3 linked regions of the Ovis aries genome follow. The protein of the gene in region 3 interacts with the protein of the main gene of each other region in a biochemical or structural test. Links are inferred from orthologs where the notes say so. Each region holds a gene or a part of one and is shown on either strand. Other genes may lie near its edges.

Region 1 (2,807 bases), on a different chromosome or scaffold from region 3:
GTCAGATTCTGCTTCTTTTGTTGCTGTTATTGGCTTCTGCTTCTGCATTCAATCTGTTATGGTATCATAGGTGAGTGAATGACTGACAAGGACAGAAAACACCTTAGTGTTATCATGAACATAGTTTTGACCTTGAGGGAGCTCTGGAAAGGGACCGTGTTTTGAGAACTGCTGCTTCAGGGTAGTCTTCATGGTCTTAGTGAGTCTGGTGGTTCACAGGGCCCCTGTCCTAGCCTCCCAGTTCCAATATGGTGCTGAACCATATTTCAATTAAAAATTAAAAATCATATTAAAAAAAAGATAGCTTCATTAAAAAAAATCTTATTTCTATTTTAATGGGGCAGTAAATGCATTTGTTCAGTCAGCCATCTTTAGTATTTTTTTTAAAGAAGTCTGCTTATTTAATGTAATTATTTGGCTGAGTTGCATGGCCTGAGGGATCTTGGTTCCCTGACCAGGGATTGAACCTGTGAGCCCTGCAGTGGAAATGTGGAGTCTAAACCACTGGACCGGCGGAGAAGTCCCTTTGCTTTAGCTTTTTAATCTCATAGAAGCATCTTTCTGCTTGGTTCCCTACCTCCATCCCACATGTAGCTCAAAAACTGGCAAATGCCAAGAACTAAAATCACATGTGCAGTGTCCACCTCGAATCTCCACATTTCCTTTTTATTTAGCAGCTTGGCCCCTTGAGTCCTAGCTGCCTCAGTAATCCCGAGTTCCCACCTGGCTTTCCCCACACAGGGAGGCCTCTGAAGGGCCCCACCCCAAGGGGAAAGGCACGTGTCGAAAAGCACCTCTCCTCTAAGGTCTTGGCCCCAAAGCCATGGCTGCTGTGGTTGCTCTCCAGTGATTTCAGACTACTGTTGTTGTTGGTTTTCTTTTTTATTCAGTTCATATAGTTCTTGGCAGTCTGACATGAGATCTCTGTCATAGCTGTGAGTGGTGTCAGCATAGTTCTCTCACTTGATTTTTGTGAAGTTGCATAACAGTTTATCTTGGAGATCTTTCCCCATCTATTCCAAAGAGCCTTTTTGTCCTTTTTCACACGCATGATCTTTCACTGTTGGGCCATCACTAGTGTAACTTCCAGGGTGTTTCTGCTCTTGGCAGTCTGTAATTATGGGTAGAAGTTTTGTACACGTGCACATAGGTTTGTAGGTTACAATCCCTGAAGTGGAACTGCCGAGTCTTTCATGCAGATGAATAGTTGTCATTTTGAGAGCTGTCACCTAATCGCCCTCCATTGTGTTAGACCAGTTCCTCCTCCCCCAAGCATGGCTGAGAAGGGCAAACTGCAAACTGGTTTGAGCCAAATGGCCTAGAGGCTGCAGCCAGACTCTGGAAGAGGGGCGGGCTTCCCCTTCTCCTCACAGCCCCTGTGCCTGAAGCCAGGTCACTCTCTGCTCTCTCCCAGGACACATTTGACATCCGGATCCTGATGGCCAAGTCCGTCAAGTACACGGTGAACTTCTTAGAAGCCAAAGAAGGAGATTTGCACAGGTACCAGCAGCCCTCCACCCCTGGCACCCCGACCTCCTGGGCTTAACTTCTGGAGATCAGGGCCACTGCCAGCTCCCTTGGACAGAACCTTGCCTCCCAGGCTGGGCGGGCCGGGGCCCCACACCCAACACCCCCACATCCCCCTCCTCTCCCAGAAGCCCTGGTTCAGCTTCCCCAGCAATCACTGCCTTTGCCTTACAGGATAGAAATCCCATTCAAGTTCCACATGCTGCATTCCGGGCTGGTTCACGGTCTGGCTTTCTGGTTTGATGTCGCTTTCATCGGCTCTATGTGAGTGCAACCAAGCAGAGCAGGTGGCCCCCCCACTCCAGCCCCAGGTGGTAACTCCAGGTCTGGCTGGCTCAGATGATGCACTGGGGGCTGGGAGGGCCTGACTCAACTCCGCTGGGTGCTACTGCTCCTTGCAGAAGGCAGTGGGAGCTGGCCTTCGAGCAATAGACTATTGGGGGTAGGGTCGTCTACCCTGTTCAAAGTGACTATTCCTCGCGGGACCTGATTGTGTCTCTTGGCGTGTATATCCGGGCGAGTGGGCGTAGGTAGAACTTCCTGGACAGCCAGCCTGTCTCCGCTCCAGGGGACCCCTGGGTGGTGGGGGCCGGGGGTGGGGGGTAGGTGCCTGAGGAGAGCTCAAAAGGCACAAGGTGGGGGTCTAGCCCAGTCAAGGGCATGCCTGTCCCTGCTTGGCAGAATGACCGTGTGGCTGTCCACGGCCCCGACGGAGCCCCTGACCCACTGGTACCAAGTCCGGTGCCTGTTCCAGTCGCCACTGTTCGCCAAGGCTGGGGACACGCTCTCAGGGACATGTCTGCTTATTGCCAACAAAAGGTGCGAGCAGCCCCAGGGGCGGGGGCAGCAGGGGCTCGCTCCCTCCAGGCAGCCAGCTCACGGCCACCCTCCTGCCCCACAGACAGAGCTACGACATCAGTATTGTGGCCCAGGTGGACCAGACAGGCTCCAAGTCCAGCAACCTCCTGGACCTGAAAAACCCATTCTTCAGGTAGGACGGGCCCTGGGCCTGCGGGGGGCGCCCTCCTCACCCGCTGCCCCTCGCCCTGCCCACGGGCCGTCTCTGCCGCAGATACACAGGCACGACACCCTCCCCGCCGCCTGGCTCCCACTACACTTCCCCCTCGGAGAACATGTGGAATGCCGGCAGCACCTACAACCTCAGCAGTGGGATGGCTGTGGCCGGTGAGCAGCCCACTTGTGCGTGGGGTGGGGGTGGGGGCAGGGTCCTTCCCTGGTGCCCCCGCCAGTGCTGGCCCGTCGAGCCCTCCTGCCCTGAC
Region 2 (3,722 bases), on a different chromosome or scaffold from region 3:
AGAGGGAGGGGCAAGGCAAGGGGGCGTGGCCAGGACCCTGCTGTATTAGCTCACAGCTCTGATGGCAGCCCTACCCTTGGGGACCTGATGTGGGGGGGGGCAGTTCTCTCTGATTTGGGGGGAGGAGGGGCAGCTCTCAAAGTGCTCGGGGGTGGGAGGGGGGGTCCTCCCCTCTGGCCAGCCTCAGTTAATAACTTAATATCATCTCTCTATCAGTCGCTCGCTCTTTTTTCCTCTGTCTAGTATTTCTTCATTTATCTTCTCCCCTTGCCTGGTTTCCAAAGTGCAGTTAGAATGACTGTAATTTTTAACCTCCAGGGGAGGAGCCAAGCCAAGCCTTTCTTTGCACCAGGCATCTGGGGAAGCAGAGAGGCCCTCAGCCTGGAGGGGGGACCTAGGCCAAGAGACTGGGCAAGGGGGCTCTCTCGTGTGTGTGTGTGTGTGTGTGTGTGTGTGTGTGTGTGTGTGTGTGTGTAGGGGGTGAGTGAGGGCCTTTGCCCCCACCCCACATTCCTCTATCCCCTACGGTCAAGATGGCTTGTCCGCTCTTAGTTCTCCCTCCCTTCTCCTACCTTCTCAGAGGACAGGGTCCTGGGAACTGCAGGACACGGTCCCCCCGCCCGCCTCCCACACTGTCCTTTTCATAGCAAGTTCATTTGTTTGCCCTGTCCCAGGGCTGGAGGTTCTGAGGAGGGACAGGGCAGTGTGGGGGTGTGTGTGGGGAGCTGAATCTATCCAAGGATGAGAGGGAGGAGAGAAGAGGTGTGGGGGTCTCCCTCAGCCCCCAGCTCTGCCCCTTCTCTCCAGGCTCCTCCCCACCAGCTCCGCACACCCTCTGGCCGCCTGAGGCTTTAGACTTCCTGATCCTCAAAGACCTCGAGGAAGAGTGGGGGGAAGAGTTCGGTGGGGCACTCGACTTTCATGTGGAGGAAGCGGCTGGCGTGGCAGGCCCCGATCATGCGGAGGTCAGTCACCTTCATCAGCAGCTTGGGCCAGAAGTGCGGAATGTTGTGTTTGCGGTGGTTGACGTAGTGCTCGAACGCCAGCAGGTACGCCTCCTGACTCTTCTCAATCTTGTCCACACACAGCAGGCCCGAGCGGTCTGCAGGGAAGGAGGGGCACGAGGCTAAGAGGGTGCAGGGGGGCAGAGGCCGAGAGGCTGGGGGAGAATGGAGAAAAACATGCATTCTGCGGGGGCAGGGAGCAAGTCGGGGGCAAGCACAGGGCAAAGCCGGTGGAGGGGCTGGTAAAGCAGACAGAGGAGTCAGAGGTGGGCCTGGGAAGGGAGGAGACTAGGAGATGAGGCAGGCCTAGGGGGTGGAGAGGTGGGGTGGGCAGAGGAGTAGGAGGAGGTTGGGGGCAGGGACAGGGGTACTGAGAACAGAGGAGGGAGGGGAAGAGAAGGTGGATGGGAACAGAGTCAAGGGTGGGGAACAAAGGGGACTATGAGAGACAGAGAGCAGATGTGGGGCAGAGGTGAAAAATGAAGCCAGGATAGAAGAGGGCGTGGGAAGCTAGAGATGGGCCTGGAGAGAACAGAGGGGGGATGGGTGACAGAGTAGGGGACAGTGGACAGAGGATGGGCCTGAGGACAGGGATAAGCTTGGGGGACAGAGAGGTGGGCTTGGGGAGCAGAGAGACTGAGGGGTTAAAGAAGGACAAGCCTGGGGCCCAGCCAAGGTCTTGGGCCCTGGAAGCTCCGGAGCCCACCCAGCCAGGCTAGGTACCTGTTGACATTAGCAGCACAGCCTGCAGCAGAGCCACTTCCGTGTCATCCAGGTTAAAGGCAGAGAGTGACTTGCCCAGTTCAAAGATGGCGTCAGAGACGACACCCAGGCCACCATTCTTGAGCTGCTCCCGCTTGACGGCCATCTCCCCGCTCAGCGTCAGGGTGTCGCTCTCGGGGTCATAGCGGACAGCTGCCCGCAGGGACATGATCTCCATGCAGCACCCCTTCAGGAGGATGATCTGGTCTTCGCAAGGCAGCTGCAGAGTCACAGGAACACTCAGCATGACCCTCCCCATGAGTGTCCCCTGAAGGCGCCCCTGGGAACTGCGAGGCCACCACCAACCGGGAACACATACTCTGGACAGCTACCCTTGCACTGGGTGGCAGACCTACCTTGCTTCACTAACCCTCACAACTAGGTCTCTGAGTTAGGTCCTGTCATTACCTCCATGCCCACTGCAGATGAGCAAAGGGAGGTTTAGGGAGTTAGGCCATGTAGCCAAGCTCTCAAGCCAGTAGGGCAGCCTGTCCACAGAGTTAGAGCTCTTTAAAATAAGAATCTCCAGAGTCAGGATGGTCACGTAGACTTGCGGGGAGATGGGCAGGGGGAGGCTGGGGGTGCAGGGCTGGGCCCATGGAGCCTGTTAGTTCTTAGGAATCAGCTCACCCTGTGCATGCGTGTGTGCGTGCATGGGTGTGTGTTGGGTGTGTTGACCCATAGGAATTGCTCCCTGTCCAGAGAGCTTCAGAGAAGGATGAGCTGGGACTGGGGGACCCGGGGAGCAGCCCAAGGCTTCCCTCCAGTGTGACACCAGGTCTCTCCTCCCATCCATCACTCACCTCGGAGAACATGGGCAGTTTTTTGGCAAAGTCCACCACGCGGGTGATGGCCGGGGTGATGATCTTGGTAAACTCGCTGAAGGCCTCAAGGTCCACCTTGTCTCCGTCTGGCATGGAGACGATAGGTGACTGGCCGATGTCGTCCGGCTAGAGGGAGAGATGGGGGTCAGTTGGGGCTGCAGACCCCTTTCAACCACTCACTGAGGCTCCCTGCCCACCAGGGGGAGCTCCAAGGCAGCTTGGGGAAACGGGGGCCACCGCACCTAGGGACTCTGTGTCCCAGGCCTAGGGCTTCTCCCACCTCGCCACAGAGAACAAACTAGCACCAGAGCTCCAAGATGGCTAATAAGAACAAGGATCGTAACACCAGTAGCGGCAATGCCATAACAACAGAAGCTACATTTGACTAATATGTAGCTAGGAATTAGGCCATGTGTTTTACACATATTATCTCATTTAATCCTCACCATGACTTATCACCACTAGTTGATGTTATACTTATCACCATTTCACAGATGAGGAAACAGATAGAGTGCAGCTAAGTAATAAGCCCAGGTCGAGAGCCTAGTAAGCGGTGGAAACAGGATCTGAACCATTACACACACATGTGCTCGCTTTCAGAGCTGGTGCTCCTTCCAGTGTACTGTTTCACCCGCTGACACACTCCAGCCATCAGGAGTTCTCTGCCTTCCCCCGCCATACACAACCAACTGTCCATCTCCTCCCACGCTGACCATTTCCTTGGCATTCAGCTTTGCCAAGGCCCAAAACAACATGTGGCACCCAGGAGGCTCCTCAAGATACTGTCCCATGACTGTGTCCTTGCCCCTGCCTCCCAGTCACTGTGGAAAAAGGGGGAGAGATCCTCCCCACTTCACTGGAAATTTGATGAGGCAAGGCCCTGCCCTCATCAAATCAGATGGAAAAGGCAGTAACACATACACAGGTGTACAAATCAGAACTGCCAAGCTGTGCAGACTAGCAGCTTTGGGGTGGACTAATCTAAGAAGGCTTCCTGGAGGAGGCGAGACTCTGAATTCGCTCCCCTTGCCTGGCCACCAGGCTGCCACTCTCACTCATGCCCCTTCTCTCCTTACCAGGAATTTCCGCCTCTGCTTCCAATGGCTGCCCTGGGCGTTCGTGCTGCGATGGG
Region 3 (3,529 bases):
AAGAAAGTAAGTTTCATACTCCCAGTGAGTATCAGAGCTGGAATTCAAACCCAGATCAAATATCAAAACCATAGTTCTTCTCTTCCATGATGCTTTTCAAGTTTATGGCAAAACCTTCCTCCTTTAGAAAATTATGCAATCATTAGTGTTGAGTAGGACTCAGTATAGAACACTAAAATATATCCAAAGCACCAAAAAAGAAGGTCATTTTTTTTTTTTTTTTGGCTTTTTAAAATCACTGTTTATTCCATTTGGTAGAGGGTTTTTTTTATTCCCATACAAATATTTGCAACAGTTTTGAATTCCCCAAAACCATACATAGACGATAAATACCATGCTATTAAAGTATTAAATTTGTACAAAAATACTTTACAGTTTAATACTTGTTTGTTACAAATAAAAATACATATTTAAGTGACTCATGATCTTTTTCTTAACATGATTCTGCTTTATACTTTCTTGCCCTGGCGGTTCTGAAATATGATTGAAATAATATATTTCTTTGCACAGAAACAAAAGGTGAACTTTTTCCTTAAACAAAGGACACAGTGTTCAGATGCTTTACTTAAGCAGTTGTTTTAATTATTGACCAAAATAAAAATGTTTGGAAAATAATTTTTCAGTATGGAGATTCTACAATCAATATACAGATCTATTTTTTTTTAATATTCACCAAATAACAGTTATTAGTGTAACTATTCAAAATATCTGAACAAATGAAAACAGTTGCTGACAGACATTAAAAGCAACTGTCACAGTTTATTGCTTTGGGGGATGGTAATAATTGGCAATGCATTTTGTGAAAATGTATTTACAATTTCAATCAGTGGCATGGCTCAGAACAAAAGACAGTCCAGAGTCATTTACGTACATGTGCTGTACACCCCTCAGTATAACCAGTTTTCAAAACATGTCAAGCAGTATGAGTTTCATTTGCCTATCCTTAAGATAAACCTCATTTTAATAGACTCTTCATTCTCTCTTAAATTCTTAGTCTTGAATTTTAAAAATAAGATAATTTAACTAATTCTCAGTGTTACTAAACACCCTAATTCATTACCAGAGAGTTTTCAGCTATTAAAAAATGTGTCCTTAAAAAAAAAAAACAACCCAAAAAACAGGTCACAAGACATATCCTGTTTGATGATTTGTTGCATAGGGAATAGCATACATCTTAGTTAAAATCATTCCTATACTTGGGCAAAACATGTACCACCACCTATTATGGTCTCCTACGTGCACCGTTGCTGAAACGTCGTAAGATAATTTTATACCTGTACCCCTCCCATAGCAGCAGTCCCAGCAGCTCACCAGACTAGTTCTAGCAGAGCCAGCTTTATGAAAAGCCTTGTCAGTTAAATTCTTACATGAATAACTTTGTAGTAAGAAACTGATTTCAAAGTGAATTAAGGAAATTAGAGAATATTTTCAAACAGACATTTCTCTTTTTAAAAAGGAACAGGAAGATGGACTTGTGAACAAATGTCCTCTGATGTTAACTGTAGAGAGGGGTGGCCTGTTTTTCTTTTTCTCTACCATTGGGTTTGGCAGGGGATTGCCTGGCATATACCATAATGATCACCAACAAAGAAACCTCTTCAACTTGAAAAGGGAAGTGAACATGAGCCATGAGAGATTTAAAAGACCCCTGTGCTTGCAGTTAATGCCACGTGATTATCTGTGCTTCAGATGTCACAGAAATCTTAATGGGATTTTTTTTTTTTTTTTAGCACCATGTAGATATCGTCTTTTGTCCCGCTTTATAAAAAGCGTTGCTATAGTGTATTAGTGGGTTCTCGTATCTCCAAATTACCACCGTGGCTCGGCTGCTGGAAAAAAGCACTGTTCTGCTCGCTCCATTCTCCTCCTGGTAGAGTGTGTTCTAAGGACTTCTGTGAAGCCAGGGGGTTTCTACTAATCACCAGGTCCAGCTTATTACCAGATTCCGCTATGAGGGGTACAACAAGGCAGCAGTCAAAGTCTCTTGTTCGGACATGGTTAACCTGAAATGGCAAGAAGCACCATGGTGAATTATTGTTATAATTCCCAAAACCCAGAGTAACATTTCAGATAAAACAGGTTGAGAAGAGTCTCGAAAGTGCTTAAATGAGCACTCTGTACAGAGAGTCTATCCCAGCCCTGAGCACACTATAAGAGGGGCATAAGCTTACGTATTTTCTGCTACTAAACTGTAAGGCCCTGGATGGCAGGGAGCAGGGACACATGTAACATCCCCCAGCTGAGCAAATAGCCTTACTCATGGCAGGTGCTCCAAAGTGCTGTCATCCCCAATTTACAGACGAGGAAAGTGAGGCACATAATGGTTAGGAGAAGTGCCTAAGACCAGCAGTTGGTAAGTGGTCCAGAGAGGATGTTGGTGAGTGGTCCAGCAAAGATGTGACCTCAGGCAGTCTGGCTGATTCCGAAGTTTGTGCTGTGCTTTGTTTTTTGTTTTCTTTCTGTTTAAACATTTTTGGCCGCACCCTGCAGCATGTGGGAGCTTAGCTCCCAGACCGGGCACTGAACCCATGCTCCCTGCATTGCAAGGCAGAGTCTTAACCAGTGGGCTGCTGGGGAAGTCCCCCACAACTCGTGCTCTTGATGATACTGAACCACCTCTCTCAGCAGTTCTCATGATCCTAGCCCCTTTGGAGCTTGTACGTGTGCTCATCTTTCACGTTTCCTTATTCTTCCCACCCCCACTGCAAGTTTAAAAACCATCTCTCCATGCTGCTTCCTCCCAGGCCTTGACTTTTCATTCTCTCTCCCATCTTCTCAGTTTGGGACCTGACCATTATATCGTATTGTTGTTGTTTAGTTGCTAAGTCATGTCCGACTCTCTTGTGACCCCATGGACTGTAGCCTGCCAGGCTCCTCTGTCTATGAGATTTCCCAGGTAAGAATACTGGGGTGGCTTGCCATTTCCTTCTCCAGGGGATCTTCCCGACCCAGGGATTGAACCTGTGTCTCTTGCATTGGCAGGCAGATTCTTTACCGCTGAGCAACCAGGGAAGCCTTATATTGTATAAATGATCCCAGTTGTTCAACATAGGAATGGTGTTTTGAGTGCTCATCCCCTTTAGCCACTCTTGACACCTACTCATCCTGAAAACTCCTTCCTTGGCTCTGATGACACCACATTGCTCTGACCTTCGTACCATTTTAACTGCTCACTTTCAGCCCTTTCCCACCTTTACTTCATCCTATCCTTTAAATTTTGTTTTCCTTAGAGTTCTGTCTTTAGTTCTCTTACTAGAAATCCACCCTAGGCAACTTTAACCAAATCCATGTGTTCAGTATTCCTAATCTTTAGTTTTGGCTCTAACATCTCTCTTAAGCAACAAATGTAGACTGTAAGCTGCCTTACAGACTGCTCCACCAGGATGCACAGAAGGCATTAAAGGCTCAGGTCTGGTACAAACGTCTTACCCTTACCCCCTGGTCTCCTTTCCTGTGATCCTCCCTTTCTTCACCCTACAGCAGTCCACCTGTGACATAATTGTATTGTCTTTCTGAATTATGAAATGTG

Evidence for each region. The genes of interacting proteins can lie anywhere in the genome.
Region 1: the proteins of GRIP1 (region 3) and CARM1 form a complex in vitro, tested with the Homo sapiens proteins (2 studies listed by BioGRID). The link is inferred for Ovis aries from reciprocal best matches to the Homo sapiens genes GRIP1 and CARM1.
Region 2: the proteins of GRIP1 (region 3) and THRA form a complex in vitro, tested with the Homo sapiens proteins (2 studies listed by BioGRID). The link is inferred for Ovis aries from reciprocal best matches to the Homo sapiens genes GRIP1 and THRA.

Annotation. Positions count from the first base shown.
Region 1 is NC_056058.1:13,195,159-13,197,965, forward strand, and holds part of CARM1 (histone-arginine methyltransferase CARM1), read left to right. Parts: intron 1-1,414; coding exon 1,415-1,500; intron 1,501-1,701; coding exon 1,702-1,791; intron 1,792-2,208; coding exon 2,209-2,346; intron 2,347-2,428; coding exon 2,429-2,518; intron 2,519-2,599; coding exon 2,600-2,712; intron 2,713-2,807. UniProt on the Homo sapiens protein: Methylates (mono- and asymmetric dimethylation) the guanidino nitrogens of arginyl residues in several proteins involved in DNA packaging, transcription regulation, pre-mRNA splicing, and mRNA stability.
Region 2 is NC_056064.1:40,135,520-40,139,241, reverse strand, and holds the end of THRA (thyroid hormone receptor alpha), read right to left. Parts: coding exon 3,667-3,722; intron 2,717-3,666; coding exon 2,570-2,716; intron 1,987-2,569; coding exon 1,728-1,986; intron 1,103-1,727; coding exon 852-1,102; 3' UTR 162-851; downstream 1-161.
Region 3 is NC_056056.1:153,636,205-153,639,733, reverse strand, and holds the end of GRIP1 (glutamate receptor-interacting protein 1), read right to left. Parts: intron 2,004-3,529; coding exon 1,776-2,003; 3' UTR 561-1,775; downstream 1-560. UniProt on the Homo sapiens protein: May play a role as a localized scaffold for the assembly of a multiprotein signaling complex and as mediator of the trafficking of its binding partners at specific subcellular location in neurons.